4 linked regions of the Elephas maximus indicus genome follow. The protein of the gene in region 4 interacts with the protein of the main gene of each other region in a pairwise test. Links are inferred from orthologs where the notes say so. Each region holds a gene or a part of one and is shown on either strand. Other genes may lie near its edges. The genes, in order: SIK3, NEDD9, FRS3 and TRIP6.

Region 1 (8,046 bases), on a different chromosome or scaffold from region 4:
CCAGCTTCACCACTTATCGTTGGATGGAGTACAGTAGCTCAGTCAATAAATGAAGTTTACTTTAGCCTCTTAGTCCTTGGAATGGGTAGTGTGTGTAAGAAAAGGTGATCATAAATTTACCTCTGATGTTCAGAAAATACCTATTACCCAACCTCATTTAGTCAAAACAAGTATCATCTGAATTTCCAGAGTATGACTGTTACATACGGTTATAAGATAAATCTACACCATTTAGTGACCTACAGGGAAAAAAGAAGAAGAAAAAAAAAATCCCTCTAAAACACAGACAAAACCAAAGAAATGGAATTATGCAAACAGACCGAAAAAAAAAATAGCTTTCTTTGGTTCCAAGTAACCTGACTGCAGAAGTAAAATAAATGCTGCAGTGCATGGGTAGAAAAACCTACCCACCTGACTGAGCGACAGAAACAGCAGCTTCGGCAACTTCTAGCACCTATGCACCTTCCCCACCATTATATAACCAAATCATGGCCTTAATAGGTTATCACACTCTATGTCAACAGCTGTTAGGCACATCTAAGCTGGCAGCATTTGAGAACCCCTTCCCAAGTGGATTCAAATAAGCATGGAGCAGGCTAAAACATGCTCATCGTTCACCCAGAGCACATGACAACTCCTTGTGAATTAAGCCTCACTCATGTCGTCAGAGTAATTTAAGCCGGGAAAGATAGGGCACTTGTTAACTGTAACTAGGAAATTGCACACAGCTACAGAAACAGAAATGAACGCTGGTGTGGCCCCATAGCACATGCAACTCATTGTCCAAGTCGTTTCAGTCTCATTCAAGGCTGAACATTTCCATACGTAGGAATTGCGTAACTAACTGCACACCACAAATGATCAAAGATAAAAACCAACATAAACAGTGACACCCGTTTATAAACAAGCCAACGTTGAAAATCCTGCAGTCCTACAGGATACCAAAGCCTCAGAGAAACGCTATGAGGGGGGAAAAAAAACTGGAAAATTAGAAAGCGGGCAGACGAGCCATAATTAGCCACTGGTTTTGCTGACTACTGAAGATAGAAATGTCGCTTTCATATAGAAAGCCAAGAATCAACTGTTAGCAATTACATTTACAAAAATATTCAACCATGTCTGTCACAAGCTTCTATCAATATTTTGGTGTATCCAAGGGCTGGAAGACACAAAATTCTTTAAATTACAGATACCATAAACCAAGCAACCAATTAAGTTCATGGAGTCCATCCCCCAGAGGTCGGAGCAAAATAATCACAGGAGCAACGTGATTATTTAGAAGGGGGGCGGCTGGGGGGGGGGGACACCAAAACAAGAAACAAGGCATGGACAACTAGATTTGTTTGTGAATGTTAAGCTTAGCCTGGTTAACAGTAAACAGGACTGGAAACTCAAGGGGGTGGGGGTGGGGGCACTGGGCGGGTGTGCACCAGAGTCTACCCCCTTCAGGGTTTGAGGGTAATGTCAAGAACCTTGGACTTTGGTATCTCTTTCAGTTCTGACCTGCAGGCTTCAGGCCCTCTGATAAAAACTGACAAAAAGGCTGAAGGGGGCCCTCCAGAGGAAGTGAAACTGACCAATCAATTCTCCACAGCCACCCACCCTGCCACCCTGGTAAGAGGGGCCCTTTGTAGTCTTTGACAGAAAGGGGGAGAAAAAGGAACTTCAGGTTGCAAGTGAGAAGGAGAGAAGACTTAGATAAGTCACTGGCTTCTGAAAACAAGCGATTTAACTGTTGTCAAAAAAGCGAAAACAAGGTAGGTGATAATAACCAGAGGCTAGGCTGAAGAGGTGAGGGGAATTGATGTGGCTTTGATAGGAAGCAGCAGCAGCTATGAAGGTTCTTCATTAGTGAGGCAGAGGGAAAAACGCAAACTGCAGTTTTAAATATAATGAATGACTACGTTAAATGTATTCAGTCAAGTGAGACATGGACCAAAGAAAGAAATTTAGAGTAAAAATGGGCTTTATGGTGCCTACAAGTCCAAAAATACTATCCATATTTCCTCAAAAAAGAAATAAACGTATATGTGTGTATACACAAGGCTTCCTGACTGACCTTGAGCAATTTCACTGCTACAGCTCCTCAAAACCCTTGGGAACCAACGGGTCCAACTAGCGTTATCCTCCTGACACTCTGGCCTGTGGGTTCCTCACATGCCTCCTCGGTTTCAATGCTTTCCCCTCACCACCGAAGGCCCACCTTGGGTGTATGAAGCCCAGAATTGAGACCTTCCAACAACTAAAAATAACCAGCAATCTAGCCCACCCCAAATTATTTAACTCCTGATTACCCAGTGCTACCATAGACCTAAGGCCCCCCCCTGGGCCTCTATTCCAGAAAGCCCAGGTATTGCCAGGATCCAGTCCTCTTCCTGAAGAGAAGCAAAGTAATTTTTCCCCCTACTTGCCATTTTCCTCATTGCCTCTACCAATAATATGGTCTCCCTTCAAACTCCCATTCCCATCCCCTATCAGTCTTAGATGACCAAATGCTGATTTGTGTCCCTATCATGAGGTACCTTGTTCCTCATATCTCCCAGTACCCTGCACCCACCGTGCTCCCCCTGCACATGTCCCAGCCGTCCTTGCTTCCCTCGTAACCCCAGGTCTGCCAGTTTACCCTTCTCTTTCCCCCGTCTTCCTGGTCCACATTTCACATACCCAAGCCCTCCTTCTGTTCTGATTTCCTAATTACTGGTTCCAGAGTCTTCTAGCTTACTGTCTCCTGACTCCCTGAAAGTTCCAAAGCCCTTCTTCCCAACCCCGCCTTCTGCTAGCGTCCACGCAGCCCTGAGAGCCCCCTCCCCTCCCGGTTCCTCAGTTCCCAGGTCCCGGGCCAGGGCCCCCTTTGCCCCTCCGCCGGACAGCCGCCCTGTCTCGGGCCGCCGGTTCTGCCCACCGTCTGCCACCCCTGTCCCCACTCGCCGCCGACAGCCCCCTACCCGTGCCCCGGTCCCGACGCGCTCCGATGCCCCAAGCCCACCCGCTGCCCCAAGCCCGACGCGACCCCCTCAGCCTCCGCGCCGGGGATCCCTCTGCCCGCACCACCCTCCGACGTCCCCGGTCCCGTCGCGCCACTACCTTGGCCTTGGTGACGAGGTGCGTGGCCCGCTTGACCACCGCGAAGTTGCCCTTGCCGATGGTGCGGTCGATCTCGTAGTAACCGATGCGCACGGGCATCGGCCCGCGAGAGGCCGGGGCTGCGGGGCGCGGCGCGCCAGCCGCCGGGGGCACAGCAGCGGGAGCGGCCGGGGCCCCCGGGGCAGGCGGAGGCAGCAGGCGGCCCGCCGGCCCGGCTCCCCCCGCTCCGGCCCCGGCAGCCCCGCCAGCCCCGCTCGCCGCCGCCGCCGCCATCTTGTTGTGCAGTGAAACCTCCGGGGCCGCGGGGAGCCGGCTGGGGGGAGGGGGCGGGGGGGCGGGAAAGGCAAGGGGGGGCCCGACGGACGTCACTCCGGGAGGCGGAGCGCCCGCGCCGCCGGGCGCCCGGCGCCATGGCAACCACTCGTCACGTGCCGACGCGCGTCACTGCCAAGAACCATGGCAACCGTGACCTCACCGGCGAGCTCGACCTTCCCGCGTGGGCCCTAGTTCCTCAGGCCCTGGCTCCCGGGTGCCCCCCTCTGGGGATGAGGCGGGTGGGAACCCGCAGTGTGCCAGCAAGTCCGAGACCTCTGCAGCGCTTCCCGAGTCCGGGGCTGCGTTATGCCTGACCCAAAGCCCACCCCCCAGCCAGTCGCCCCTGGAATCGCTAATCTGACCCCTGCTGTGACCTCTGTCCCAGTTCAGCAATCACCCAGCCTCCCTTAAAACAAAAGTATTTCCTCATCACCAAAAATACCAGCCTTGTCCCACTTTAGCCCTTGAGGCCACAAAGGCAGGAATAGCTATGGTATTTAAGTAACTGTAACCAACCAAGTTGGTAGCAAAGCAGGGGAATTCTTCAGTAAAATTCCTTCCTCTTACAAAACCCAGCTCACCCTATGTAATCATTCTAGCTGTCACCAAATAAACGGGAATGGGGAAATTAGGACTTGCGTGTTCAAGCACTAAGAAACCAACCCAAACACGCATTCCAGTCATTTGGTAGGCGAGGGCCAAAGAATGTACGTCATTTTCCTTCCTACCTCCTCCGTCCCTCAACAATTATATAGCGAAATGTCTACCAAAGTGCCTGTATACTGTTTCTGTTGCTTGTATTACCCTGATGAAACACTGGTGCAAGTTGTCCAGTGAGCCACGTCATATTTAAATAACAGCCCATTAGGCAAAAAATAAGATTAAAATTCCATCCTTACTAGTGACTTTCCAAGGACATTAAAGGTGATCAAATTCATAATCCTGACTATAAATCTCATATTCCTTTTTCTCTCCTCCCCTGTTAGGCATCCCACAGCTTTCAGAGGCTTTCACTAGCTCCCAGGCTTCCCCCTCCCTTTATTAAGCAGATTAATGTAATTGCTTTAGATGGGGGTAGGAAATTGAGCTGGCAATAAGAAGATTGTCTGGCAGGTTGGGGGAGAAAGGAAATCGTGAACACTCCAAAGTTAACAAAGTGTATTCCCTCACTCTAGCCTTGATCCATTCACATCTGTCTCCTAATAGACTGAGTTCCTCAGTGGCAGAGCTGTGTTGCCAGGTCACCATATGTACAATGTCAAAAACTGACCACCAGGGCACTGTAGATGGACCAGAAGGAGAGTGCATGTTTACTCTCTTTGACCAAGGGACGTTTTCTAGCCCTATGGTTCTCCATCTGACTGAGTAATGGCTGAGGCCAGGATGGGACAGAGGAGTCATCCCATGATCGTCTTGAGCCAATTCTCTGCTAGCTGTTCCAAATTGCCAACACAATTAACACTAATTGGCTCCTTTACTAGCAAAGCAGGACAAGGATGAATTGGTTCTCAGCTTCTTGCACTGGTTAAGCCCTCTCTTTCCTCAGCTGAGGTCGTTCAATCTTAGATCAATGATGTGACATAGCCAACTCCTCTAACCACTTCATGGCCCCACTCATCTGCCTCTAGCGGAGACCAACCATGGTGCTGGACCCCAGTTTTACCATTTCATGGGAGGAACCTCCAGAGAAAGAAACCCCACCTGACTGGAAAGGCAAGGAAAGACTCTTTCACTCTGGAGGCTGCAGAAGCAGCATGGAAACCATTCTCACTAGTGACTGTCCAGCCTCCTCTCCACTCACAGAGACAGTTTGAACATCAAGCATCACAACTTTTGCCACTCTTTGGAGGGTGTCAAAAACAAAGAGGACTGGGAAATGGAGCATTGGTCTACTTTCCAAAGAGAAGAGGCAGATCACTGTTGTCTCTTAATAATGACCAGAATGTGTTATGTTGTGCTCTGCCATTGGTGCTCCCTGCATATATGGATTGAGGCTAATAGATGATATGTAGGATTGAGATTTGGGTGAAGACTTGCTGAAGAGTCCTCTTTTATGAAAAGAATATAGAGAAGTGGGGAGGGGATTGATCAAAGAAGACCAAACCCAAACCGACCAAACCCATTGCTGTCCAGTCGATTTCGACTCATAGTGACCCTATAGGACAGAGTAGAACTGCCCCATAGGGTTTCCAAAGACTGCCACATCTTTCTTCCGTAGAGTGGCTGGTAGGTTCCAGCCTCCAACCTTTCAGTTAGCAGCCAAGTGCTTTAGCCACTGCGCTACCAGGACTCCTTCAAAAAAACCATCAGGGAAAAAAAAGAAAATTGTTTGTATGTATGCGCTCAATTAGAATGTATTGAGTACCAAGGATTGAGTTAGGTTTGGGGAGGAAATGTAGAAAGGGAATCCAAAAACGAATAAGACACAACAGCTGCCCTGGAGTAACTCACAATCAATAATAACAACATTTTTCCAGGCACTGTGCTAAACAGTATACGTAAATTAACTCACCAAAAACTCACAGCAACCCTGTGAAATGAGATTATATTATCCCCTTTTAAGGAAAATGAGGCACAGAGGGATTGAGAGAATAGGCCAAGGTCATAGAGCTATTCAAACCCAGGAAGTGGAGCCTGAGATCTTTCCCAGTGTATTAATTACAATCCCTGTCAAGCTAGGAGCTAGTAGGAAAAGGGTTTCTCCAGAAGCCCAGGGTAACTGAGCTCAGCTTAGACCCACGGAACAAGAGGACATTGAGAGCTCTTAAGAGCCGGACGGAAGCAAGCAGCTGAAGTGTACTGATGAGGAACAACTGACTACAAAAGTGAATTAAGTACCTGTGATGGCCTTGGTTGTAAATACCACCAAAAAGAGGCTCACTGTTTATTGTATAGGAGTACTGGTGTCCTTATGAAAAGAGGCTGGAAGATGTGTTCCTACCTTGCTGCAGACTTAGAGGAGTGGCTGAAGGGCTGAATTCTCAGGGCCTCTGTAGCCCAGGGTGAAGGCACAGAGCTAGCCACTGCACAGCTCGGTCAGCCACCATAACCAATGTACCCTCTTCTGAAAAAACAAAAGCTAGACTCAAAGATGAAAATGAGACCTTTTCCTTTGTAATGTCATTGTGTCTTATTTCCAGACTTTGAAAAGAGCAAACCTAGGCATTCCTGATGATAACCCAAAAAGCAAACCTGTTGCTGTTGAGTCAATTCCAACTCATTGCGGCCCTATAAAACAGGGTAGAACTGCCCTATAGGGTTTCCAAGGAGTGGCTGGTGGATTTGAACTGACTTTTTGGTTAGCACCCATAGCTTACCGTAGCTCTTAACCACTGCGCCCCCGGGGCTCCAAATAGGCCCTTAGAAACTTCTAGAAGTGATATAAAATCTCTGAGGAGCTAAGGTCCTACCTGAGAGTGATATAGGGAGTTAATACATTAACTCTTCAATGCGTTTTAACGCTTGCTTAGCCTGTCTGCATGGCAGTTGACCAGTAACCCAGCAGAAAACTGCAGCCTCACAACATTGCTCCATAGACTCTTGGAGTCATCAAGATTTTGCAGATAGTCCAACCCCTCACTTAACAATGACCCAACTCATGGCCCCCAACACCATTTAACTCAGTACAGAAGTCACTCCTGAGGTTCACCCTTCAGCCAAAGATTAGAAAGGCTCATAAAACAAAACAAGGCTAAATGGGCACACCAGTCCAGGGGCAAGGACCAGAAGGCAGGAAAGGACAAGAAAGCTGAAACTGGGAAACCCAAGGCCAAGAAAGCGTGAGTGTTGACATGTTGTGGGGTTGGCAACCAGTGTCACAAAACAATATGGATATTGTTTAATGAGAAACTAATTGCTCTGTAAACCTTCATCTAAAAAAAATAATAATAAATTTCAAAAAATAAGTAAATAAAAAGACAACTCATTACTGCTCTGAAAAGAAGCTGGCATTATACCAATATTATACCAGTATAATAGCAAGTATTTTTCAGAAATTCTATATACAGAAAGGCAGCAAGGTAGAATGTTTATGTGCCACATATTCCCAAAGAAGGAAAGTATTGGCCAGTTACAGATTCTGCCATCTCGCAGAAACCAGGGCACTGTTGGAGACACATTGTCTGAACACTCCAAGTGCCCTGCTTTTCCTGGTGAGCTGAATGTGCGCCTTCTCTTTGTTAGAGCTGCCTTCCTCAATGCCACCTCAGCTATGTGGCTTTTGCCTTCCTTCCTCCTTCTATCCCAGACCAACCTAGTCACGTCCAAATGCTTCCCCTGAATACCTAGCAGGTCTGAGCAGCCAAAGGTAACTAACTACATAGTCTCTTGCTATAAAATGTCTTGGGGAGGTGGCTTAAAAAGGCTTAAGAGAAGCTAAATAAGCTTTCGGTCAAGAATTTCCTGTTCAGTTTGGCCACATTTTTCTTTTCCCTGAAACCATTCAGTCATTTCTGTTATGTAACGCAAAACATAAAAATCACCGTTACTGGGTGATGGTATAATATGGGAGCAGATAAGGGTGATGGCTGAACAATAATGATGAAAATAATGTCACTGAACTGTACATGAACGTGAAGATTGCTGAAATGGCAAATGTTCTGTGACATATATATTTACTTCATATTTACCACAATTTTAAAAAGAAAA
Region 2 (7,817 bases), on a different chromosome or scaffold from region 4:
ATGGTTTTACATTCATTCTTTCACAGTGGATCTCATTTTTGACGGTCACAGTTTTCTGAGAACTGTAAGGGGTCTAAGACACTAAATTTTAGCACTTAAAACCCACCTCAAAGAGTCTCAGCTGGAAGGCAGAGGCAGCAGGAAGTGGGTAGAGGGCTGCACTCAGTACAGCGACACTTGGCTTAGTGTGAATGGGCGGCAGAAACTTGTGCCGTCTCCACAGTGTAGGGACCCCCCATGCCCAAAGGACAATGGGGCGGAGTAAAAGGAGGGAGGCATTGGTGGGCAGGGTGGGGTTCTTGGCTAAGATACAGAAAAGAGTTAGTGTGGAAAGGAGGCTAGATGGCAGAAAAGAGAGGGGACAATATTCGTGAAGAGGGACGGGTGTATGCAAAAGTAGGAAGGTGCACACCTGTCTGCGAGTTCGTGAGTCCCCAGGTGTGGCAAGAGTGTAGGGTGTGGGGGACAGTACAGAAGGGGAGGGTAGGCTCAGATTATACACCATGCCAACGTGTCTGGGTTTTGTTTTATAAGGCATTGAAGTGTCACTAGAAGTTCTAAACATGGTAGCATGTGATTGGCTCTGTACTTTAGAAATTAAATAGGTACTGATGTTTATAGGGTTGCTATGAGTCTGAACTGATCTGATGGCATCTAACAACAACAATGTGGACTCTAAAGCAGGGAGAGATTTCAGGCAGAGAAACTAAAACCAGATTATTGGTAGAGGTCAGAGAAGAGACCATAAAGGACTGAACTACAGCTATTGCTGTGAATTGCTGTGGAATTGGCTGTGGCTCATGGTGACCCCATGTATGACAGAACAAAAAGTTGCCTGGTCCTGCACCATCTTCACGATTGTTGGTATGTTTGAATTCACTGTTAAAGCCATTGTGTCAATCCATCTCATTGAGGGTCTCCCTCACCTTCACTGGCCCTCCCTCTACTTTACCAAACATGATGTCCCTCCTAACGACGCATCCGAAGTGAGACAAAGTCTTGGACAATAGTCTGTGATCCATCAGGTTTTCATTGGCTAATTTTCCAAAGTGGATTGCTAGGCCTTTCTTCCTAGTTTTAGTTTGGAAGTTCCACTGTAACCTGTCTACCATGGGTGACTGCTAGAATTTGAAATACCACTAGCATAGCTTCCAACATCATGGCAACACACAAACCACCACATATGACAAACTGATGTTGACAGTGGGGTCTTTACAGCAGGAATTGTTATTCAACCTGGTATGACCCTGTGCAAGGTGCTCACGCTCTCTGAGCAGCAGTTTTGTCTTCTTTGTGAGGGGTTGTACTCGATGATGTCCAAGGTCGCTTTCTGCCCTGCCATGCTCTGGCTGTGTGACTTTTCTCTTCATAGTGAGAAAGCAGCCACATGGCTTCCTCCCAACTTGCGGACAGAAGTATCTCTCTCTCTAGCATCCACTTGGATTTCTTCTATGTCCGTGCCAATGCCCAGTGGCAGCGGAAGGGTTGTTTGGAGGGCATCTAGTGTCATTTCCCTTGCTCCGGCCTGTATGAGCATCTGGGAAGATAGACCCTTGGCAGACAAGCAGACAGGCAGCAAGGCTGAGAGGTCAAGAAGCCCATGGAAGAAAGTGCTGGCGAGCACGGGGGGCAGGGCCTGAGCCCCAGTGCCCTGGCCTGGCCCGCTGTACGAGGGTGCCCATGGGAGCCCTAGTGCTGCTACATAAATCAATAGAGAGTATTTACATATCACAGTTTAAACAGCAACTTTACATCCAATATCTCAGCTAAGGAAGGGGTGGTGGGGACCCTGTTTCTCTATTCATTGAGAGAAATTTGTGTTTCCCCCAAGGGATTTGAAGGAAGAGGTTAAAGGACACTAATAAAGTAATATCAGGATTACTTAAGTCGCATTGAGACCAAAACCAAACCAGTTGGCGCCAAGTCAATTTCAATTCATGGCTACCCCATGTGTTTCAAAGTAGAACAGCTCCTCACAGGATTTTCAATGGCTGTGGCTTTTTGAAAGCAGATCACCAGGCCTATCTTCTGAGGCAGCTATGGGTGGCTCAAATCTCCAACCTTTAAGTTAGCAGCTAAGCAAGTTAACCATTTGCAACACCCAGGGACTCCAAAAGAGCCCTGGTGGTGCGGTGGTTAAGAGCTTGGCTGCTATCCAAAATGTCGGCAGTTTAAATCCATCATCTGTGGAAACCCTATGGGGCAGTTCTACTCTGTCCTATAGGGTCACTATGAGTTGGAATTGACTTGATAGCAATGGGTTGGGTTGGGTTGGGTTGGGTTGGGTTGGGTTGGGTTGGGCTGGGTTTTTAGGGACTTCAAAATAAAGAAATTAGTAAATTTGCTCAGAGTCCAGCACAGGTTTATCTGACTCCAATGCCCTGGTTCTTTTCTTTCTGTAGCTAGCTATACACTGACCCAGCCTTCTTGAAATGAGCTGCTGGTGGTTCTTACTACACAGGACAGAAGCAGGGAAGCAGGCTGACCATTGGCGGGAATTAAGCTTTAAAGCTAGAGAATGAAATTACCAAAAGCCCTAGCCTATGTCTTGAGGGACTACTGTAAAATCTTAACATGGGATGGGATAGTGTTCACATACTCAATAGTCCTCAGCAAGCACAACAGGGGAAGGATTCAGCTCTACTGCTTACTAAACCAAAGGAATGTTATCTAGATTTCTTGGAGGCTCACAAGACTCATCTTTCAGATGGAAAGGCCTTCGACTAATTGTTCTTGTTTATCCAGCCAGACACCAAAAACAATTTCCTGCAAATGAAGGAATATCCTGTAAGCCTGCAGTACTGCTAGGAAGACCCTTGCAGCACAATAGGCTGGTGTTTAATCTCTGCTCAGAGAGCCCTTGCAGAATCACTGAGGCCAAATGAGGGAAAACAAGGCTGGGTGGAGCAGAGAACAGTCGCAGAGAGAGGGCCGAAGGCGGGTGTCCACCCCATTAGGACTGCCCAAGGGCTGTGTCCCAGGAATCTCTGCCACATTCATCTATTAACTAAATGGGAACCGTCTATCAGGAAACCATTTTCCTAGGCCAGCTGCTCTCCTCTTTTCTTTCTTTCTTTTTGTTTAAATCATAAAAGTAGAGTTTTAATCCATTGGGGATTTGAAGGGGGGAAAAAAAAACTTATTCAGATACAACTTGATCAGGAAAAAAATAAGGGCTGATTTTCCATCCAAGTCACATAGCTGGTTGAAGTCCATCCCCTTCCAGGAGCGCTATTGTCTGGATTCACCAAGTCTCAGTCCCGAGGCCAGTGAGAAGGAATTTTCCCCTCAGCACTCTGTCCTTCGGAAGAATTGCTGAAGGTGACCGTTTCTGTCCTCTCCTGTGTGAGTCTGGAGACTCACTACAGAAATCATGAAGCTGAACCGAAGGTTCTGTGCTTTGGTCTTTTTAACCAGGCTCATCAAACAGTGGGCATTTTTTGTTCCCCGGATAATAAGTGTTGGTGGGTTAATGGGTCATCTTCAGCGGAGAGGTCAGCAGGAAAAACAGCCGTGTTCAAAGCTGGAGCTAGAAAAACCAAGCCATCAAAGAAAGCAGCTTGCAGTGGGCACCGATGATGTATAGTGCGTCCACCGGCCAACCCCATTGGAGAGGTCACATGGAACCTTTATCCTAAGCCAAGCCAGTGAAGGTCACCAAACGTGTGTGACGCTGGACTCGGGGAGGCCTTCGTGAGAACAAGCCAGGGAAGCTGGTGAGCTGCTTTTCACTGAGGGAAGATTGTATTCCCACTCGTTACAGATTGACATTGGAAGTACTTTGAACAGTGAAAAGAACAAAAAAAGCAAACAGCCACCAAGAAAAAAAAGAGAGAGAGAGAGAGAGATCAGCAGGGGTGGTTAGTGAAAAGGGGCCTGGAGACAGAACAGCTTTTGTTCCCAGAGTTCGTTTCATGTAGAGATTTTGAGGTGACTGGCTTTGAAATGAAGTGGTTTATGAAAGAGTTGCCAAGGCACAGGAAGCGGGACTGGCAGACTGTTTTGTGAAGCAGTTTCTTTAAAATTTAGGTTAATCTTAAAAAGCATTTATTCCCTTTTCTTGGCTTTGCTTTCAGTCTTTCTCTTTTCTTTTTTTGATGGGGTGGAGGGATAGTTAGGTTTGGGAAGGTTCTCCCCTTTCTGTTTTATTTTCCAATCTTTTTCAAAACGTGAAAAGGAATTACCACATTACAAGTTCTTTGTCAGGAGTTTTCAGAAGCTAAGCCATGGGCGGGCACAGTATTACCTTGCTGCGCGAGCCAATAGCCGGACAGCATGCAAATGAGCCCGTGATCCGCCTGCTCTGGTCAAAACAGTGAGCTCAGACGCTTTGGAAACTTAGCTGTGCGCAGGGCTCGGCGGGCTTGGGCGGGCAAACCATCAAGCGACCGTTCTCCTTTTCATTTAACACTCAATGGAGGGACAGACACTCCAGTCCTTAATGCTGTCGTACTAGTTTAGGAAAACGGTTCCATTCACCGCTGCCGAAATGAAATATAAGGTAAGAGATATTTCCTATTAAGCCTTAGGCTGTGCCTGCGAGTGTGGGTGTCTGTCTGTGTCTGTCTGCCTGCCTGTCTTCCGCTGCGGCACGTCCCCGAAGGGAGCCTTTCTGTACCCGGGAGAGTTGAGATGGGTCTAAGTCACTTTGGTTGACATGCAAGCAGGCAGACACCTAATCTCTGAGACCCAGGACCCATCTTCTCTGAAAGTTGCCAGGGAAAGGACCTGGTGAGGAGTTAGTAACACTGAGAACCCATCTACCGCGGTGTGTTCAGAGGGTCTCTAGCTGGAAGCGCAGGAGGTATTGGCTCAGATCTCGCCTGCTTTCCCGGGCCGGGCTCCCCCTGTCCTGGGGAGCAGGAATGAGGGAGGAATCCCACTGCTGGGTCGGTACAGCTTTTCAGGCTTTACTTTAGCGTATTGCGCTTCGTCTGGGAAGCAGTTTGCCATATATCCTTGGAGTGGCTGAAATTAAAAGCCCCAGGTACGGTTATGTAGCTGATGATGGAGAATTTTGACATTCTTAGGTGAAGTTGAATGCCGGAACAAATGAATATTAGCCACTTCTTGAAAACTCTTTTATTGGCATTTGAATGGACTGGCGGGTATGGGCACTTTTACTGTGACTGGAGCTCATAGAATGTGATAATACTTCGGTAGCATTATTTTCCCATGGGTTTTGCACTGTTATTTTTGTGTTTATTCTTGGCAATAGAATTACAACTTGCTCAGCATATCCATTTTGTTTTAAGTAGCCCCATCTAACTGAGACAAGTGGTTTCCAGGGATAGAATTACTCTGTACCGATGTAGATAGCAATGAGTTGGGTGTGATTTTTCCTTGGGTTGATGAATATTTCTAGGATAGACATAAGTACTATCACTTTTAAACAAAAGTGCTGTTATGAAAATAGATTTTGGCATGATATCTATGCTTTTGGATTGACAATTGGCATTACCTGTCTGGCCTCTGAGGTTGTGCTAGCTGGGAGCTACAGGTACTTGGCTTTCCTTCTGAATTACCTAGCTAAGGGCCCATCCTTTCTTAATGTCAGCTTGTAAATACTTGGTTCTGGCTAATAGCCACTGGTTAACTCAGTGATAAATCTTTTGTTCAAAAGCTGTAAATCTCAACGTCCAAAGCCTTTATTGTAGTGCATGAGTTGTGGTTCTCTTTGGAAAGGTTACAACTCTGTGAAGAAACAGATACCAGTTGTCAGCTTTCCCAAAGGGAAGATCAGAAGATGGGTAATCCTGAAGTCCTCAAGATTTGACTTTACAATGCAACCAGAAACAAACCCTTCTACCTGGCAAGAAAGTTCTGCTTCTGGACGTGGTTCACCCCCTATTCCATAGTTCCTTACTCAGAAAAAAAAAAAACTAAACCCAGTGCCATAGAGTCAATTCCGACTCATAGTGACCCTATAGACCAGTTATTGCTTGGCCTGGGGCGATATTTTTGCTCCTTCTCTCCCTCTTGCTGACTGCCTTCATTTCATATAAACTGGCAAGCAGAAAACAGAGAAATTATGTTCATACATTTATTATTGGGAAGTATGAATGGCTGAAAGTAACCTCAAAGGCTGCAGTCTAGAAAGTGACAGCAGCAGGCACGAAGCCTAAAGTCACTTTTATTCAGTGACCTCATCCTGGTTAGCTTTATTCTTATGGAAAGAAAACATCATGGCAGCTTGTAATGTAAAACTGCTACTGGCTTTCATGGAGAAAACCTGCTCTCTTTACCAAGTTTTACCAGTGTTTAAAAAAATAATATTAACAGTGCAAATACACAATTTTTAGCATTCATTAGCTCGTGGACTCTTTTGCCAGCAAGAAAGGGAGAGAGTCCAGCCTTCTCACCTTGTGCTGACTCTAAAATGAACCATTAGTTGGAGGAATCTACTTTTCCTTTCTCATAAAGCCTGTTTGCTCTCTAGATGGTAATGGAAAACTTTGTTTCAGAAGAGAATTTTGTCATTTTAAGTGGAGGAGATGGCACACAGGAAGAGAGAGAGAAAAAAAAAAAACCCAACCCCTCTGTCGATAGGGAGAGGAGTGATGAATAACATTAATAGAGGTTTACTTTGACAATACAGTTATTGTCCCAATGGCTCTATGAGGTGGGCATTATTATCATACTCATTTTCAAATGTGAAAATTGTGGCACAGAGACACTGAGTGATGTACCCAGTGTCACACAGCTAAAAACTGGTAGGATTCGAACTCAGGTGACCTGGCTCCAGAACTCTCGATCTGACCCACTATTAAGAGAAAGAGCTATCTGTGACCGCCCCCTAAAATGTTCTGTGTGACTGAGGTTTACTTCTTCCAGGAAGTTTAAGACTATTTCATCCCAAGCATTCCTGTAGGATAGATTCTTATGTTTTTAGACAGTAAATCTACAAAGCAAAGTGAAGTGTACCTTTGGCACTTATTTGTTTAATTTGAGCCACATTGGTAGTAAAACCAGGTAATTATTAGATTGTAAATTCCTGGAGTCAGGAATTACCTCTTAAACACCATGTTGCTCTGTACACTATAAACTTAGCACAGTCAGAATTTAAAATGTTCATTGAGAGATTTATAATTCAGATCCATTAGTTTTTTTTTTTTTTTAAACTGGATTATCTGGTTTGGCTGCTTCAGGGATCATAACTAAAAAAAAAAGAACAACCAAATCTCTACTCATTTTGCACTTAATGTATACAACTTCAGGCCAGCCAGCTATGTATTTACAATAATCTTGAGAACTGTGGAATGTAAGCTGTTACTTCGGGTAAACCTTTTTTGTAAGCACACAGCTAGTCTATTTTTATTTCATTGCGGGTTTTTTATTTGTTCATGTAAATACTGTGGTCATTGTCGTATGTACTTAATATCCCATCTCTCTTAGAAGGTGTTCAGTCTGTGGTTATGTGATAGTTATGTAAAAAAAAAAAAAAAAGTTATGTATGGGGGGCTTAATCGATTTGAGAATTTTCTACAAGCTTCTCTGAATATATGGAGCCTGTTCTGAGTGGGGGAGGGGGGGCCGATGGCCTTAGAACACTTGCCAAGGAAGGCTGTGGCTCCTGAGGGTATGGAGGTAGGTGGGTGGCTGCTGCTCTTTTCCAGGAAGGTGATTGCAGGGCAGGTGTACAGATGTGTTTGAGCAGAGGCCCAAGGCTCCACCTCCTTTGTCCTGGAGAGGGAGGAGGGAGACCTTGTAGGTGCTGAGTCTGGCTGGTCTCCAATGGCTGAGCAGCCCTTTGAGACTTGGCCACATTTCTGAACCCTTATGTGCCTACACTCCAGTTGTAAGTTATTGATCTAGCC
Region 3 (7,682 bases), on a different chromosome or scaffold from region 4:
GAAAGAGGGCAAGAAGCTCATGTAAGTCCACCTTAAGTCTCACTTCTCCCAGGAATAGTCATCCCTCAGATCCTGACAGCCCCATAGCACTTAGGTAGCCCTGTCACCTTATATTTAGGTCTTTGCTCCTAATGAACTGTATGGCTCAATATCACTTCCTGTTCTGACTTCTCTAATTATTTCATATACTCCCACCCCCACCTTCCAAATGAACTGTAAGCCTTTAGGCTAGGTACATTTAGGGGTTCAATAAATACTTAGCCATAGTCTCTACATTTGTATATTCCATTATTGGTTTCAAAAGTCGTTCATGTCCATTTCCTCATTTGGTCTTCAACTAAGCATGGTGGTGGGCAGAACAGATGCTGTTTCACCCATCATGTAAATGTGGAAATCCAGGCTAGGGAAGGGGTGACTCCCTCCAATTAGTGGCAGAGTGGGGCCTTGGATCCATGTTTCCTAACTTCTGGACTAAGGTTCTTTCCACAGTAAGTTGAGACATTAAGAGAGAGAGGGAAGACGGGGAGAGGGAGACCCACATCGCTGTCCTGTGGAGGGAGCTGTTGCAGGAGGGTGCGAAGCCCAGGCCCGCTGGGGGCCGGGCTGGTGTCCAGGTGAGGGGGCCCCAAGCTCAGAACTGCAGGACCCTGAGGAGACATGGCAGAAGGTGAGTGGAGCTAGGCTTTTCCTTTCTTACCCTTCTTTCCTCCCTACCTCATTGCCACCTGTCCAATCTAGAACAGCTTCCAAGCCCTCGCTCCCTAAGTTTGGAGGATCCTCCTTCAAGATAGCTGAGAGCAAGGATAGCTGACCCACTTCTGCATTTGTGCTCTGATTTGAGAGAGGTTGGGAAGGTCCCACACTCCACAACAGCTTCTGTTCCTATGCCTGAAACCACCCTCTTCTTCCCCTCTGGGTCTGCTTAAAACACAGACCCTCTAGGAGGGAGTATTTATGTGAATGAGTCTAAAATCAAAACTTGTATCTTGATGGGGCTGCAGGATTCCTAAAAAGAGAAAAGCGCCACAAGAGGTTGGGCACAAAGATAAACCACCTCCCAGGTGATGGAGAGGGGAGGAGGTGTGAAGTATAGAGAAACTGTTGGTCTCAGAGGAAAGAGTGAGGCTTTTACAACCTGAGCAGAAGTATCTCCTGGGTCCTCCTCTGGCAGGTGGCCTGAGTCACTGTCTGAGTTGGCTGGTGGGTCTGGCTCCCTGAGGGTGGGGCTCTCCCCTTTGTGGGAGCAGCCTGAGTTCAGTATTGACATTGTTGGTAGGGTCTGTGCAATGACAGTAAGAACACCTCCATTTTATGGGGCCATTGCAATGTGCCAGGCAGTGCTCAGTGCTTTACAGGCATTATTATCTCATTCAGTCCTCCCAACAACCAGGTGAGTTAGGTGATACTGTCCCTATTTTACAGATGGCCAAACCGAGGTTCAGTGAACATACACACAAGGTCATGCAGCTTGTCAGTGGAAGAGCCAGGTGTTGAGACCAGGCCTTTCTACTCCAGAGTTTCTGAAGCTCAATCTTTGGGGTCTCCCAAGATTCAGATGGAGGAGAAAGACGCCCACAGTTGAAGGAGAGGGCATATTGCCTTTCTGGTGAGTTTTCGAGCTGGCTGGTCCCTCCCTCCCCAGCTTTAACTCTCACCATTCCTCATCTTGCATTCACTACCCCAATGAGCCTACTTCCTCACTGCTCCCTACATAGGCCTTAAAGGACCACCTTACCAGGAAGCCCTCCTCAGCCTTTCTGGCCCAGACCCTCCCCCTTTTCCTGACCTTCAGTAGTAAGTTCAATTGGTTCCCCCAAGATTTAGCACCTAATGTTCCCCTCTTTTCAGTGTGTCTCTCTAAGCTCCTTGTCTAGTCTATAAATTCAAGGGCAGAGGAAAATCTTGTGCTTCTATCTTCGATCTATAATAATTTCATTGGGTAATTCTAACCACATCTCTTCAGCTCTCTGGGCAAGCCCTGATACACCCACAGTATCTGCAGGGAGTGGAGGAGTCGACCACTGAGGTAGAGAAGAGACAGGCAGGCCCTGATCTCAAGGAGCTCACCATCTATCAGGGGGAAACATGCAACCAGACAGAATGGGGAGCTCTCGGCAGGAGCTCTCGGCAGATGTACATAGTATCCTGGTATAAAATAACCAGAGCAAATTTTTCTGTAATGTTTACTCTGTACCAGGGACTATTCTAGCATTTTATATATTATGACTTCACAACAATCATATGAGGTACTTTCTGTATTCCCATTTACAGCTTAAAAAAAACAAACTGAGGTTAATTAACTTGCCCAAGAGCCACATAAGAAAACAAAGGAGAGCTTTCGGAGGAGGTTGCCTCTGAGAGCTGGGATGGATCCTAACGGCAGGCACAAGGAGAGTCATCGCCAAATCCCTGGCTTTGGGTCTGGGCCGGACTTTGGACCAACCAAAAACCAAACCAAATCCTTTGCCATCGAGTTGATTCCGAATCATAGAGACCCTACAAGACAGAGTAGAACTGCCCCAAAGGGTTTCCAAGGAGCAGCTGGTGGATTCAAACTTCCAACTTTTTGGTTAGCAGCCTAACGCTTAACCACTATGCCAGCAAGGCTCCACGATTTGGACCATGACAGTTACATTGCTTTGCAGCCCTGAGTCCCCCTTAGCTCCCTTTCAGATGTCCTGTGCCACCCTTCCTGGCTCCACACCCACCTGCTTCCTGCCTGTTCCGTCCCTCTGGCAGGTTTCCTGTGGAAGGATACTGGGATGGGCTGTTCAAACTCAGCGATAGGAGTAGCCACTTCCCCTAGTAGCACGCGGCAAGAGGGGCGGGGCGGGGGGGTTGGTGGCGAGTAGGGGGTCGGCAAAGGACAGAGGAGTATCTGGGGCCCCAGGAAGTGATGTGGACCCTATCTTCCCCATTGGCTCTAGTTTGCATGGAACTGTTACAGAAGCAATGCTCAGAAATCGGCCCTCTACCCCTCACCCTTCTGTTTGCTCCCCCTCACACAGGGCAACCTAACACCACCATGGCCTAGCACTTGAATCCACCTTACTAATCTACCATATTCCTTCCACAATTCCCCTTTACTCCATAAGAGACAGAGCTGAGCCCCCTCCTCCGTCCTCGCACAGGTGCGCCAGGGCTCAGGAGCTCGATCTCCCCAATCCATCAGGAGGCTCTGGGTACTGGAGGAGGATGGGAAGGTTTCCCCCGCACAGTGGGAGGGGGAAAGGGGAGGCGTCTGGTCCCAAAAGTATCCTCCCTTGTCTTTTCGACAGATTCCCCTAAGTTTTTTTTGGACTTCGCGGGCCCCACCCCAGGGACAGAGACGCAGTATGGCTCCTGTGTCCGCTGGGGCTCCCAGTCTAGCAGCCGAAAGTTTAGAAGAGAGGGCAGGGGCTACGCTGGGGCCTCACCTTCGCCGCGCGCCGGTGTCCGGGCGGTTCTGGACAGACCCCGCCGTCTGGCCCCTCAACCAGTCCCCACCCCAGGGCTCCAACGCCCGCCTCTGCCCGCCCCGATAGCGCGGCCCCGGCCCGCCCACCCCTCCGGGCTGGAAGAGAGGAGCAGCTCAGGGAGGGGCCTGCACTTGCAAACAGAAGGGAAAGTATTTGTGGGGTCTCGGGATGGAAAGAGTGCAGGCTGCACGGACCCCAGCCACGGCCTAGTGTCGGGACCGCGCCTCGGCGGGCGCGGAGCACACCCCCCACAGCCGTGTTCGTACCGGGTTCTCGGCCACGGGCTGAACCCACATCCGCGGCCCCTTCTCTAGACTCTCCCCAGGTTCCCCCAAGCCCTCCCTCAGGTCTCCTGTCCCCGCCCCCTTCCTGAGACCCTGCCCCCCCGTTTCCTCTCTCCTGTCTCCAGTGAGCCCTCCGCCCATTCTCTTCTCAGCCCCTTTCCTGCGTCCCTCTTCCCTGTCCTTTCTCCATCTGCCCCTCCAGCCCCCTCCGCTCTCCTTTGTGCTTCTCCCCCCGCCCTCTCCGCCCCACCAACTCCCTTGCTTTCCCGCTCCCGGGAGAACGTCCCGCCCGCCCTCTTCCCTAGGCTCCGCCCCGCTGCCGTCTGGCTCCTTCAGCGGCTGGTCGGGAGCGCCCTCTGGCGTCTGCGTATGCTCCCTGCTCTCGACTGCAAAGTCCTCCAAAGGGACCTTCTAGGCTGCGCGCCCGTCGCCCCAGCTCGGGTCCGCCCGCCCGCAGCGTCTCGTTGGTGCTGCCGGGTGACCTCCGACCCCGCGGCTGAGGGGCGGGGCGGGGCGGGGCGGGGCGGCCTTAGCTCCGGGCGGGCGGCGGCTGCTGCAACGGGACCCGGGAGCGGGGCCCGGCGCCGCCCGGGCCGCGGGGCGATGTGAGTCGGGCGCGGCGGGGCGGGGACGAGGCGGCTCCCCCGAGACCGCGCCGCGCCGCAGTCTCCGCTCGTACCGTAGGAAGCCCCGGGCGGGCGGGCGGTGGAGCCCCGGGCTGGGGGCGGGGATCCAGGGACAACGCGCGCCCCCTCCTCCACCATTCCTTCTCGACGTGTAGAAATTCCCTTGATTACCGTGCAATCTAAATCTTCCTCTCACTGCCCAGGAAGTCACCGCGGCCCCCTCCTCCGGTACAGCGGCACACCATCGCACCTCTGGGGACCCCCGGAATCCCCTTACTCCTGCAAATTCCTCTGATACGCCTGCAGGCCCACCATTCTCTCCTGGATGCACCCAAGCGGTTCCACCACCCGGAAATTTCTCTGGTCCCTCATATCCCCCGTTCTTGCACCATGCCCAAGACCCAAATCTTGCCCACATTCCCTGAAACCCTGTCATACATCCTGAGTCCCCCTGACCCCCTTTAACTCCCGCCTTGACCCGCACCTATCCCAGACTACAGCCCCCTTGCCCCCATCCCGCCCAGTGTAATCCCCCTCATTGGCCTGAGGATATGTCCTGATACCTCAGAGATGGGGAATAGAAAAGGCACCCTATAGTTAGTCTTGGGTTCATCCCATAATCCCTGTTGGTGATTTAAACCCCAATATTTTTACACACTTTACTCAGCCTGCTTCTTCCAGAGAATAAGCCAGACTAAGAATTTCGGGGGTCCTTTTACCTGGGAAGTTGTCCAAGGATGCCAGCTAGCAGGGGCCCTGGGAGTTGATATTGTTGGCCAGAGCAGGCGAGTAGGATTTCCAGGGTCTCCAGGCGCCTGGCGTGTCGACTTGTCTGCCTGCGGCTCACATGCCCTGAAATTTTGGGGTTTATTGTTATCATTATATTAAAATTTTAGGCCCTTCAGAGCTTGAGGAGCAGAATGTCAAGCTCGCAAACGTAAGATCGAAGGAGCCTGTCCTTAAGAGAAAGATGTCGATTTTATTGATTTTTGTCTTACACATCTACCTTTAGAAGTTACTTCAGCTAGCAGCCCCACAGTTTACAGATGTTTCATATGTAAAAACTAAACCCTTGAGGTGGGGAGGGGGGTGTGAGTGGGGGATTGACTTGACAGTGTTTCCCAGATACTTCATAGCAACAAAACAGACTAGAATATCGGTTTCCTGAACTTTAAACCAGTGCTTTCTTCAACACATTTCAGTGTCATTTTGAGAACGCTCTTCGTAGACTTAAAGTTCTCTGCAAAGGCCGAGTGGTGTTTTTGGTGTTGGTTTTAAGAGGATTCAGAGGGGGTCTAGAGGTGATTTGAAAGGTTTTGGGCTGTCCCAGACTTCAGACTCACTGATGCTAGGGGGATCTCTCCATCTCAGGGCCTCTGGGGCTTGGAATCTGTGATCCCATTGCCCTTTCTTCATTGGTGTTCCTGTTCCATCAGGACCTGGAACAGAGATTCCAGGACTGACAACCAAAAAAAAAACCCAAACCCTTTGCTGTAGAGTCGATTCCCACTCATAGCGACCATATACAACAGGTTAGTTTTGTTTACAAGGGTGGGGATGGGAGGTTTCTACTAACCTACTATCTCTGTCTCCTATGCTAGGTGAGCCCCAGGTGTGTCCCAGAGGGCTCCAGGTCACTTCTTGGCTGACTGCTTGCCATGATACCCCATCAAGGACGGGGAGAATAAAGTGGAGACTTTCCCCATGCCCCTCCCATGGTCAGCTCCCCGATGGCCTGGGTGAGGTAAGTGCTGTGTATAGAAGCTGATTTTTTGGAATTTCCCAAGTTGGGAGGAATGGAGGGTACAGGTCACTGGCTCATTCAAGGGAATTTTATTCAGAAGGATATCTAACTCACAGACTCACTTCCTGCATCAAGTTGCAACCTCTTAATTTCTGGTCGATGCCAGTCCATATGTTTGCTTGTTCCATTAGATCACTCAAGCCTGGGTGGGACCTCTTCATCCTTGGCACAGACCTCACTGTTGTCTTATAACCTGAGTACCGTAATCCTAGAGGGAAAAACCAAATAGTAAGGTCTCTGGTCTCTCATTCAGACAAAGAGGAATAAACCCAATATTTTTCTTTTTAATAAGACATACCAAATCAAGGTTATAAAAACCATGCTCTGTTTTAAATGTTCAATTTTCTGACTATATCTTTGTGACCGTAATATAACACCTCATTTGAAGAGAACCTCACAAAGATAAATTTGAGGGGGATGTTGGGAAGGTGATGAGGGAGGAAAAGAGTGAACTTAGATGATGTGGGATGGGTGGGGTTAAAAAAGGAGAAAAAGAAAGATACTGAGTCGAGTGGCTGGGACTCCCAGGTTACAGCATCTTTGCTGAATCTGGGTGAGGGCCCCAGGCTTGCGCCCAACTCCTGATGCAAATCACTTCTCCTGGATCCTTTTATCTGTGCTGTTCCTGCTGCCTAGGTTCCTTGTCATTATTATCATTGTTAGCTACCATCAAGTTGGCCCCCAACTCAGAGTGACCCCCGCACGACAGAATTCAACTCTCCTTGGTCCTGCACCATCCTCATGATCGTGTGCAGATCAGACTGTTGTGATTCGTAGGGTTTTCATTGGCTGATTTTCAGAAGTAGATCACTAGGCCTTTCTTCCTAGTCTATCTTAGCCTGGAAGCACCGCTGAAACCTGTTTAGCATCATAGCAACACACAGGCCACCATGGGTCAAAATCCTACATACTTCTCAAGATCCAGATCAGATGTGACTTCTGAGAAGTTCTCTCTGTTCTTCTCTCAGCATTAATCCTTAATGCATTCTAACCTGGATTGATGTTTATCCGATGTGTGTCTGGCCCTAGATTGAGAAAGTGAATTCCTTGGAGGAAGAACTGTGTCCTGACAGCCCCTTAGACAGAGCAGATGATCACAAGAAGTGGTTCTGTTGGCACTCCCCAGAGCAGAGCATTTTGTAGTGGCCCTTGACGAGCTGCCTGTACCTTATGTTTTTCCCTAGGGTGGGCTGTCTGCTCTGACACCATGGGGAGCTGCTGCAGTTGCCTGAACAGAGACAGCGTCCCAGACAATCACCCCACCAAGTTCAAGGTATCCACAGCTTCCTCCTCTCACGCGTTGCCTCAGCTTCCCTGGAGAAGGTGAAATAACAGGCTGAGGTTGTGGGCTCAGGAAGACTTCCTGAGTCAGGGTCTCTGAAATGGCCTGAGGAAAAGAGGCCCAGACCACTGCTGTTTTTGCAGCCCTTGTACTACCAAGAATGAAGAAAGTCTGTAATGGTAGCAAAAATAGTGCTTTTAGGGTGTCCACTCTTGTCAGCGTATCTCT
Region 4 (7,720 bases):
TGGGAAGACTCAGCAGTCAGTGGTGACAGTCGCTGAGAGCTCCTGGATGCGCCAGGCGCTGCAGGACTTGCACAAGATGTGTCCGTCCAGTGGGTAGCAGCCTTGACACTCACCCTCAGAGGAGAGCAGCAACCCACACTCCTGTTGGGAAAGAAGCAAGAGCTTTCCATCAGCTTTTAACCCCTGGGTTCTTTCTCCCTCAGGCTTAACCATACCCAGCACCCCAGACCTGTTCCTCTTGCCCAGGCCCCCTGACCTCACACTTGTAACAGCCAATATGAAAACTTCGATCCAGAGCAACAATTCGCACAGTCTCCTCCTGCCCTGGCTCAGGCATGATGGCCCCGCCACATACTGAGCATCGTGGAGCAAACTTCCTAGGGTGAAAGGGAACTAATGAGGCTATCAAGACCGGAGTTGAGGGGACTAATGATGGAGCCCCAAGAAGGTGGGATGCCGGAGGAAACAGGAGAGACCAGAGGTATGGTCTTGGATACTGGGGAAGAGAGGTATACCAAAGAGAAGGAGGCAGGTCCAGGGTTGGAAACAGGAGTAATCGATACTGGGGCATGAAACAGAGGTGAGGGAGATGGAAAGGGTTATCATGCTGACCTGTGGAAGTCCTCAATGCAGTGGATCTGGCTGGTGGCATCCACCGTGAAGGGGATGCCATCGAGGCCACGGTGACACACCACACAGGTGAAACAGCCAGGGTGGTAGGCCTTCCCCATAGCCCGAAGGATCCGGTCCAGGATGGGCTGGGAGCACATGGAGCACTTCTCCAGGGTGGCCTGTTGGGAAGGGGAGCAGGAAGGTCAGGGGACCCCATGGTAGCCCTTCAGGCATCCTGCCAGCCTACCCATCTATTTACCTAGCCTCCTGCATGTGATTCAGTGAAAGGTGGACCTGAGAGGATGAGTTCAAGTCCCAGCACTACAACTTACTGGACAAGTCATTTAACCCCTCTAAGCTACAGTCTCCAGTAAAAATGTCATCAACGATAATACCTGCCTCACAGGGCTAATGTGGGGATTTAATTTATTCCCTTAACTCTAAAATGCTTCACACTTGTAAGGAACCATTGTCTTCCCCCTCCAACAGGTTCTAGTTCTCCAACTTTGAGTCCTTTTCCTTTTTGGGGCTGGCCATCTGGCTCCCACCTATCTCCAGCTGCTGACTCCAGCCACCCAGCCCGAACCACTTACCACATAGCAGCTCTCACAGTACGCCCTCCTCTCCACAGCATAGAAATGCTGGCCCTGAAGCTGGGCCCGGCACGTAGAACAGACAAAGCAGCCAACATGGAAGACTCGGTCAAGGGCGACCACTCCGGCCCCATCCCCCACCACATCTTCTCCGCAACCCCCACACCGGCCTAGGGATAGTGGGGAAAAGGTCAATCTACACAGACCCAGAAGCCAGACCCCCACATCCTCTGCCTCTCCAGTATCACCTCCCCATGCTCCCACACTGCAGAGGCAGCTCACCAAAGTACTCCCCGCTGGGTGGGTGATTCATGTCATGCACCAGCTTCTTGGTCAGCCTCTCAAGCTCCTCCTCTGGAGGCTGGCTCAGGGGGACCTGGGAGGTGGGAATCAGGGGTTTGGTCTTACCTCTGGACTTCTGGCACTATAAAAATCCCTGTGTGTGACATGACATGCGATTCAACCCAGAAAGCCCATTTGAGAGCAGCTCAGCCCAGGACCCAGGGGAGAGCCTCGAGGAGACACCAGTGCTCTACCCCCTCTCTGGCCTCCCCCACACCCTTTGGGAATCCAGAGCTCTGACATCCCCGACCTGTGACTCTGCTCTAAAACCAGGACATTAAACACCATCCTCACCCCACCCACTCAATATCCAGTTGTCTATAAAATCCCAGTGCCGTGGACCTACCTGGGACCCGTACCTGCCTCCTCTTCCTCCTCCTGCAGGGCCAGGGACCCTGGCAGCCTCCTCTTTACCCCCTGGCCCTGGCTCCCGGTGGCTCCTATAGCCAGCCCCCCAGACTTCACCTCGGCTGGGAAGAGGAAAGTGGGGCCCCAGGAGGGGCCTAGAAGCCTGAGAGGCCCCCCGCCTGGGTGGGCCACAGCCTCTCACTGGTTGTGCCACCTTCACCTGCACAGGGAAGGCAGGGCCAGCAGGGGTGCTGGCAGTAGCATAGGAGGCCGGAGTGGGACCTCCATAGGGGGATGCTGGGAGCTGCAGGGATGGAACACCCCCTCCGTTCGGCTTCAGGGAGCCCGTGCGGTAGGCAGGGGGCTGAAGGGGCTCATAAGCCTGGGGAGAAAGAGACCACAAAGAGTAAGGAAGGCCCATTCCAGGTCACACATCTGTGGAAACCCCACGTGTGGCCCCAAGATGGGCAACTTTTGAGGAGACACTGCCCTCAGGTGGCTGACTACCTAGTAAGCTCTCTGGCCCAGGCTTCTTCATGCTGGGCGTACATCTCTCACACAGGAGTAGGACGGAGGTGGGTGGAATTCAGACTGAGAATCAATCCAGGGAAGGGAGCAGGCTGGAGGTGTGGGAAGCAGGGGACAGTAAGCAGGGTTAGGGAAGGGGAGGAGTCACCTGTCGGTCTGGTCGCCTTGGCACGTGACCACGACCCCCATCCAGCTCAGCCAGCATGCTGGTCAGCGAATCTATCTCAGCATCCAGACTTCCTGGGCCCAAGCTCCCTCTATCTAGGGGGAGCCCCTGGAGATGGAGCAAAAGCAGGGAGATGCAAATCACAACGTCTCCTCTGCCTCCCCGGGTCCCATTCACACTCGACTCATGCCCCCCACTTCCAGTATTCACCTGCGGGCGCTGGGGTGCTCCATGGGACCCCCCCCAGGCTGGCCCCCGATCCTCTGGTCCCCCTCCGGCCTGGTAACACTGCTCAGATGGGAGGGGGCAAAAATTGACTCTGGGGTGGGGCTGGAGTGCTGGGTTGAGGGGAAGAGAGACCAAAGGTAGGGATGGAGAAGACGAGGGGCGCCAAGAGGGCCCCGCCTTTCCCTCCTCCTCCACCTGGGGTCTGAGAATGGGGGCAGGCAGGACCTCCCAGCCCGCTTGGGGGAGGGGGCAAGAGTGGAGGGAAGAGGCGAGCGCTGGGCAACCGGCGGCCCCTACGGCCGCACCGCACCGGGGCTGCCTTACCTGCTCCGTGGGCCACCGGTGGCCCTGGGGGCCCTCGAGGGAACACTCTCCCCTGAGGAGCTCTGGAGGACTCCGGCTGCTTCGGGGGGAGCCAGGTGGGCTCCGACATGGCCTGGAGCGGGGGACCCCTCAGAGCCCCGGATCTCTGGCCTTGATCCTCTCTTCCTGCACCTCGTTTGGAACTCCAGGAAAGAAACTTTTTCTTCCTTTTTTTTTTCTCCCTTCCTTCCCAATTTTGGGGATGACCACGCCCCTGATGATGTCACCACATTCCTGGGGGAGGGTCACGTGGCCCCCTAGGCCCAAAACCACCAACCCTCCCAGAGTTGGCCCCTCCTGCGGGGCGGGGAGTGGTGTCCTGGATCCCGCGTTGGCTGCCTCCAGGTCGCCCGAATCCCCCAGCCCCACACCCCTTGCTGCCACTGGCTCCGCGCCCCCAAGTCCTGCACGTGGCAACCTCGCTGTCGGGACAGCTCCGGCACCCCTGTTTTCCACATGCCGATAAATGCTTCTCCCTTTCCCAAGGGCACATGGCTTTCTTGTCGACCCACCTCCCATTCCCCTGCTGCCGGGCAGTGCTCAACCAGCATGTAGTTTGTTGATCTTTTATTTACGTTCAGCAGAGTTAGAAAAATAAAACAGAACGAACACATCACAACCTCAGGGGTCAGTGAGCCTGTCAGCGATGAGAGGGAGACTGAGGTAGCCTAGAGTCGCAAGAGGAGAGCCAGCCCCTCCCAACAAGGCACCAGTGAAGGGAAGGGGGGCTGCTGACTGCCCCCCCCACAGTGGAGACTGGGATGCAGAGCTGCCCTACGTTAGTACATGGGGTCCCACTCACAATGGGAAAGGAGTTGGCCCGCCCAGAATCCCTTGACATCTCCACTGGGCTCCAGCCCCAAGTGCAGGGCAAGTGGAAAGAGGTGCTTCCTCTCCTCGACATCCACTAATCAAGAGGGGTTGCTGAGCCTGGGTGGGCCCTTTCTACCCACCATCAGGAATGGGGCTCCATTAGGCATCAGAGATCAGTGCATGTGACAGGAGTGACACCATGAATGAGTAGCGTGGGGCCCAGGTCACGGCTCAGGATCTCCAGCAACGCCAGGTATCGGAGGTATCGGGCAGGATCAGCGGGTGGCCGAGGCAGGTACAGGAAGGTCAGGGCAGTGGCAGGTCCCTCCTCCTCATCCCCACCCTCCGGCCCACCAGGCCCTCCACTTCTGCTGCGCCCCTGCTGGGCCCGAATCAGGGCGTTGGCGCTGCATGCCAGCGCCTCTGCCTCAGCATCTCCCCACCCGCTGTTCTCAAAGTACCCTTCCTCTTCCAGCTCTCTGATGCCAGCCCCCTCGCCCCATACCACTTCCTGCACTTCAGCCCGGATCCTCAGCTGGCTCAGCAGTGCCCGGAGCCGCTCCTCAGCCGCCCCAGGGGCCTCCTGAGGCCCCAAGCACAGGAAAATCCGGAGACGAGCACTGTGCCAAGCAGGCACCATGCCCAAAATGGTTGCCATCTGCAGCAGGAAGAGGCCACAGACGTCCACATAGCCGGGCCCACCCCGAGGCCGCAGCAAGTTGAGGGGCCACACGTCCATGTGGTGTGGCTGAGAAGTGCCCCCAGACCCCCGGCTCAGCCGCTCAGGGGGCAGGGCTCCACAGGCCCGAGCCAGAACCACGTTCTTGTTCATCTTGAGGGCATCCGCTACGGTGGCCACATAGTCCTGGGGACTGAGAGCCCGGGGGCTCCCAGGAGCCCGAGGTGGAGAGAACAAGGTGCTCAGGGCTGGAGGCCCCCCCTCCCTAGTGCCATCAGTAGGCTCCGAGAAAGCTGGGTCTGTCAGGAAATGGTCCTGAGGTGGGGCATCATCGTAGAAACCCAGGACCAATGTGTTGGGCTTCATGCCACCTGGGAGCAGAGGCAGGAAAGAACAGACAGGAATCAGACTCACAGATTGAGCTTCTACCACACAAGGATGCGCCCACGGACACACTGACAATTAGTGTGTCAGCCATTAAGTATTACATTTACACTGTGTGTGGGTTCTCCTGGCATTATGTATATTTGCATAATGACTTTTTCGTTTTCCTAAACACTTTCACATGCATTTATCCACTTATCTTCATCACTAACCTCCTCCTTTAAATAGTCAAAGCTCGCCTCACTTGGAGAATACGCACTTCAGGGCCATGGGAAGTAGGAACCTGTTTATTCCGCATTTTTAAGCAGCACACCTTTTTCATGATGGGAGAGTCTGACACCCTGATTAGTCAAGTTCATGGCCTCAATCCCCAGGGAAAGCACCTCAGATCCTGCTATGACATGAGACGAGCTAGGCTTCACAGCCTGTTCCTACTCCTGCAAAGCCTCGGAATGTTACGTTCACAGCACCATTCCTGAAGGAACTTACAAGGCCCCAGGTCCTGTTGAAAGCACTGGCTTTGAACAGGTTAGGGGATTTTTGCTGTTTTTTTTTTTTTTTCCTGAACCTCTGCTGAAAATTTGCATTTCTAACAAGTTCCCAGGCCATGCAAATAATTCCACCCCAGGTATACTGAATCAGAATCTATGGTTTAACAAGATCCCCAGGTGACTCTTACATATAATAAATCTTGAGAACCACTGCTCTGCTAGTGGTTCTCCGAACTGGTCCCTAACCAGCAGCATTAGAACAGCCTGGGAATAGGTTAGAAATGCAAATTCTCAGCAGGGGGCAGAACCCCCCACCCAACAAAACTGACCCATTGGAACCCTGGTTTTAACTCATTTAATCCTTGAAACAACGTTGTGAGGTAGGTAACACTTATTCTTCCATTTTACACATAAGGAACCTGAAGCACAGAGCAGGAAAGTAACATTGCCGAAGTCTCCCTGCTCTCGTAGGTACCGGGGCCAGCACATGAACGCGGCAGCCTAGCACCAAGCCAGTGTGCATGCGAACCACAACGTCCCAAGTCCCTGCCAACAGCTCCCTGTTTTGTACTACTTCCACAGTCAATGTGGAATGTGATAATCCCTCCCTTTCACAGGGCTGCATTTTCAGAAGGCTCTGAAACCACTTCCAAAACTCCTCCTCATGAAACAAACGGGCTGCAAAAAACCTACCAGTGAATCAAATTCTACGCGCCAGGAGAATGCACTACCTAGAGGAAATCCTTTCCCTTTTACTTGAATCAAGATACATTTCCTGAAAGTAGTGACCTCTTGGAGCCCTGGTGGCGCGGTGGTTTAAACATCTGGCTGCTAACCAAAAGCTCGGCAGTTCAAATCCACCAGCCGCTCCTTGGAAACCCTATGGGCACTTCTACTTTGTCGTATAGGGTCGCCATGAGTCGTAATCAACTTGACAGCAATGAGTTTGGTTTTTTTTTTTTTTTTTTTTTGGTTTAATAGCCTCTTTGCAGGTTTCCTACAAGGGTGGGGCAGAGGAAAGACCAGACTCTCAGATGCCCCTGGGCTATCTAACGATGCACCTCCCCCCACCCTACTGCAGATGAAACTAGACATCCCCTCCTGAGCATTTTCTGATGTGCACTGAGCAAAGCAATGTCCAGCACTGTCGGACATCAGATCCTAAATGGAAAAGGTGGCCACAGATATTGAGCACAAATTTGGAGGAATGTGCAGCCCAAGGCTAGAGGCCTCAGCATTAAGACACACTCACAAAGCTTGGGAACCTTCCCCATGCCCTTGGCATCCTCTGTGCTCTGTGGTCTCCGGCCCACGTTGCAATGCTCCCCACTTCTCCAGCCCATTCAAGGCCTGGCTGAGGTACCATCTCTTCACAAAAACTTTACGGGCCATATCAGTGCGTAGCAGCATTTGTTTCTCTGAACTCTGGTGCTTAGAAACCATCTGCCCTAGATTTGATAGGGCAGCCCCAGACCCAAATAATTACTCTTCTCTTGCCCCTAGAAGTACAACAGACTCATCAAAGCCTGGGCCCCGATTCTTGGTTCAGGAAAAAAAAAGTATCACCCCATCTCTAACGCTCAGCATCTTCTACTAGGCCTTATCATATACCACCATCAGCGTGGTTGTTATCTTTGAGCACTGCATCTTATCTGCACTAGATTCTGAGTTCCTTTTAGAGTTTGCAATTTGTGATTTACTCTCTGGGAGAGGGGAGTGGAGATTTAACGGGTCCACAAAGGGAGCTGGAGGAAACAGAGAGGAAGCAGCTCACCAAGGCCTGAGATACGCAGCAGATGCTGAGCCCCCTGGCGCACGGAGGGAGAGAGGGTGAGGTCCACAAAGGCCTTCACTTGGGCCCGGTCCACCAGGCTCAGCCATGCCCCATACTGCGGCTGCACAGGGTCCGAGGGCAGGGAGTCTGTGGAGAAGGTAGGCAAAGGAAGGCAGCCCATGTGGCCAAACCCCTTTACTTATTCCCAGACTCCAAATCCCAAATGAGCAGAAGAAAAAGGTCCAGGCAGGCTGTGGCAGGGTGGGTAGGTCATCTGGAAAGAAGTATGTCTGGGACACGAAGAATCCCTGAGACCAAGGAGGGAGGGAGAATGGGAATGTGAGCAGGAGGGCAACTCACCAAGGTCGCCCAGGGTGACGTGGCCCAGCACGTACAGAC

What was found.
Region 1: the proteins of TRIP6 (region 4) and SIK3 interact in binary tests that used the Homo sapiens proteins (3 or more experiments, as listed by UniProt). The two-hybrid records come from large-scale screens. The link is inferred for Elephas maximus indicus from reciprocal best matches to the Homo sapiens genes TRIP6 and SIK3.
Region 2: the proteins of TRIP6 (region 4) and NEDD9 interact in binary tests that used the Homo sapiens proteins (3 or more experiments, as listed by UniProt). The link is inferred for Elephas maximus indicus from reciprocal best matches to the Homo sapiens genes TRIP6 and NEDD9.
Region 3: the proteins of TRIP6 (region 4) and FRS3 interact in binary tests that used the Homo sapiens proteins (3 or more experiments, as listed by UniProt). The two-hybrid records come from large-scale screens. The link is inferred for Elephas maximus indicus from reciprocal best matches to the Homo sapiens genes TRIP6 and FRS3.

What each region holds. Positions count from the first base shown.
Region 1 is NC_064835.1:9,375,391-9,383,436, forward strand, and holds the start of SIK3 (serine/threonine-protein kinase SIK3), read right to left. Parts: upstream 3,383-8,046; 5' UTR 3,358-3,382; coding exon 3,085-3,357; intron 1-3,084. UniProt on the Homo sapiens protein: Positive regulator of mTOR signaling that functions by triggering the degradation of DEPTOR, an mTOR inhibitor. Involved in the dynamic regulation of mTOR signaling in chondrocyte differentiation during skeletogenesis.
Region 2 is NC_064819.1:54,871,802-54,879,618, reverse strand, and holds the start of NEDD9 (enhancer of filamentation 1), read left to right. Parts: upstream 1-4,312; 5' UTR 4,313-4,489; coding exon of another isoform or gene 4,490-4,501; intron 4,502-7,817. UniProt on the Homo sapiens protein: Scaffolding protein which plays a central coordinating role for tyrosine-kinase-based signaling related to cell adhesion. As a focal adhesion protein, plays a role in embryonic fibroblast migration.
Region 3 is NC_064819.1:106,208,120-106,215,801, reverse strand, and holds the start of FRS3 (fibroblast growth factor receptor substrate 3), read left to right. Parts: upstream 1-4,264; 5' UTR 4,265-4,347; intron 4,348-4,371; exon of another isoform or gene 4,372-4,422; intron 4,423-4,431; exon of another isoform or gene 4,432-4,571; 5' UTR 4,572-5,962; coding exon 5,963-6,112; intron 6,113-7,356; exon of another isoform or gene 7,357-7,379; coding exon of another isoform or gene 7,380-7,445; intron 7,446-7,682. Other genes in the region: PRICKLE4 (prickle-like protein 4), read right to left, coding at 540-647, 1,136-1,267. UniProt on the Homo sapiens protein: Adapter protein that links FGF and NGF receptors to downstream signaling pathways. Involved in the activation of MAP kinases. Down-regulates ERK2 signaling by interfering with the phosphorylation and nuclear translocation of ERK2.
Region 4 is NC_064830.1:92,227,339-92,235,058, reverse strand, and holds the start of TRIP6 (thyroid receptor-interacting protein 6), read right to left. Parts: upstream 3,501-7,720; 5' UTR 3,251-3,500; coding exon 3,142-3,250; intron 2,928-3,141; coding exon 2,800-2,927; intron 2,698-2,799; coding exon 2,572-2,697; intron 2,278-2,571; coding exon 1,894-2,277; intron 1,582-1,893; coding exon 1,488-1,581; intron 1,376-1,487; coding exon 1,206-1,375; intron 792-1,205; coding exon 613-791; intron 378-612; coding exon 257-377; intron 142-256; coding exon 10-141; 3' UTR 1-9. Other genes in the region: SLC12A9 (solute carrier family 12 member 9), read right to left, coding at 4,160-5,043, 7,322-7,468, 7,682-7,720. UniProt on the Homo sapiens protein: Relays signals from the cell surface to the nucleus to weaken adherens junction and promote actin cytoskeleton reorganization and cell invasiveness. Involved in lysophosphatidic acid-induced cell adhesion and migration.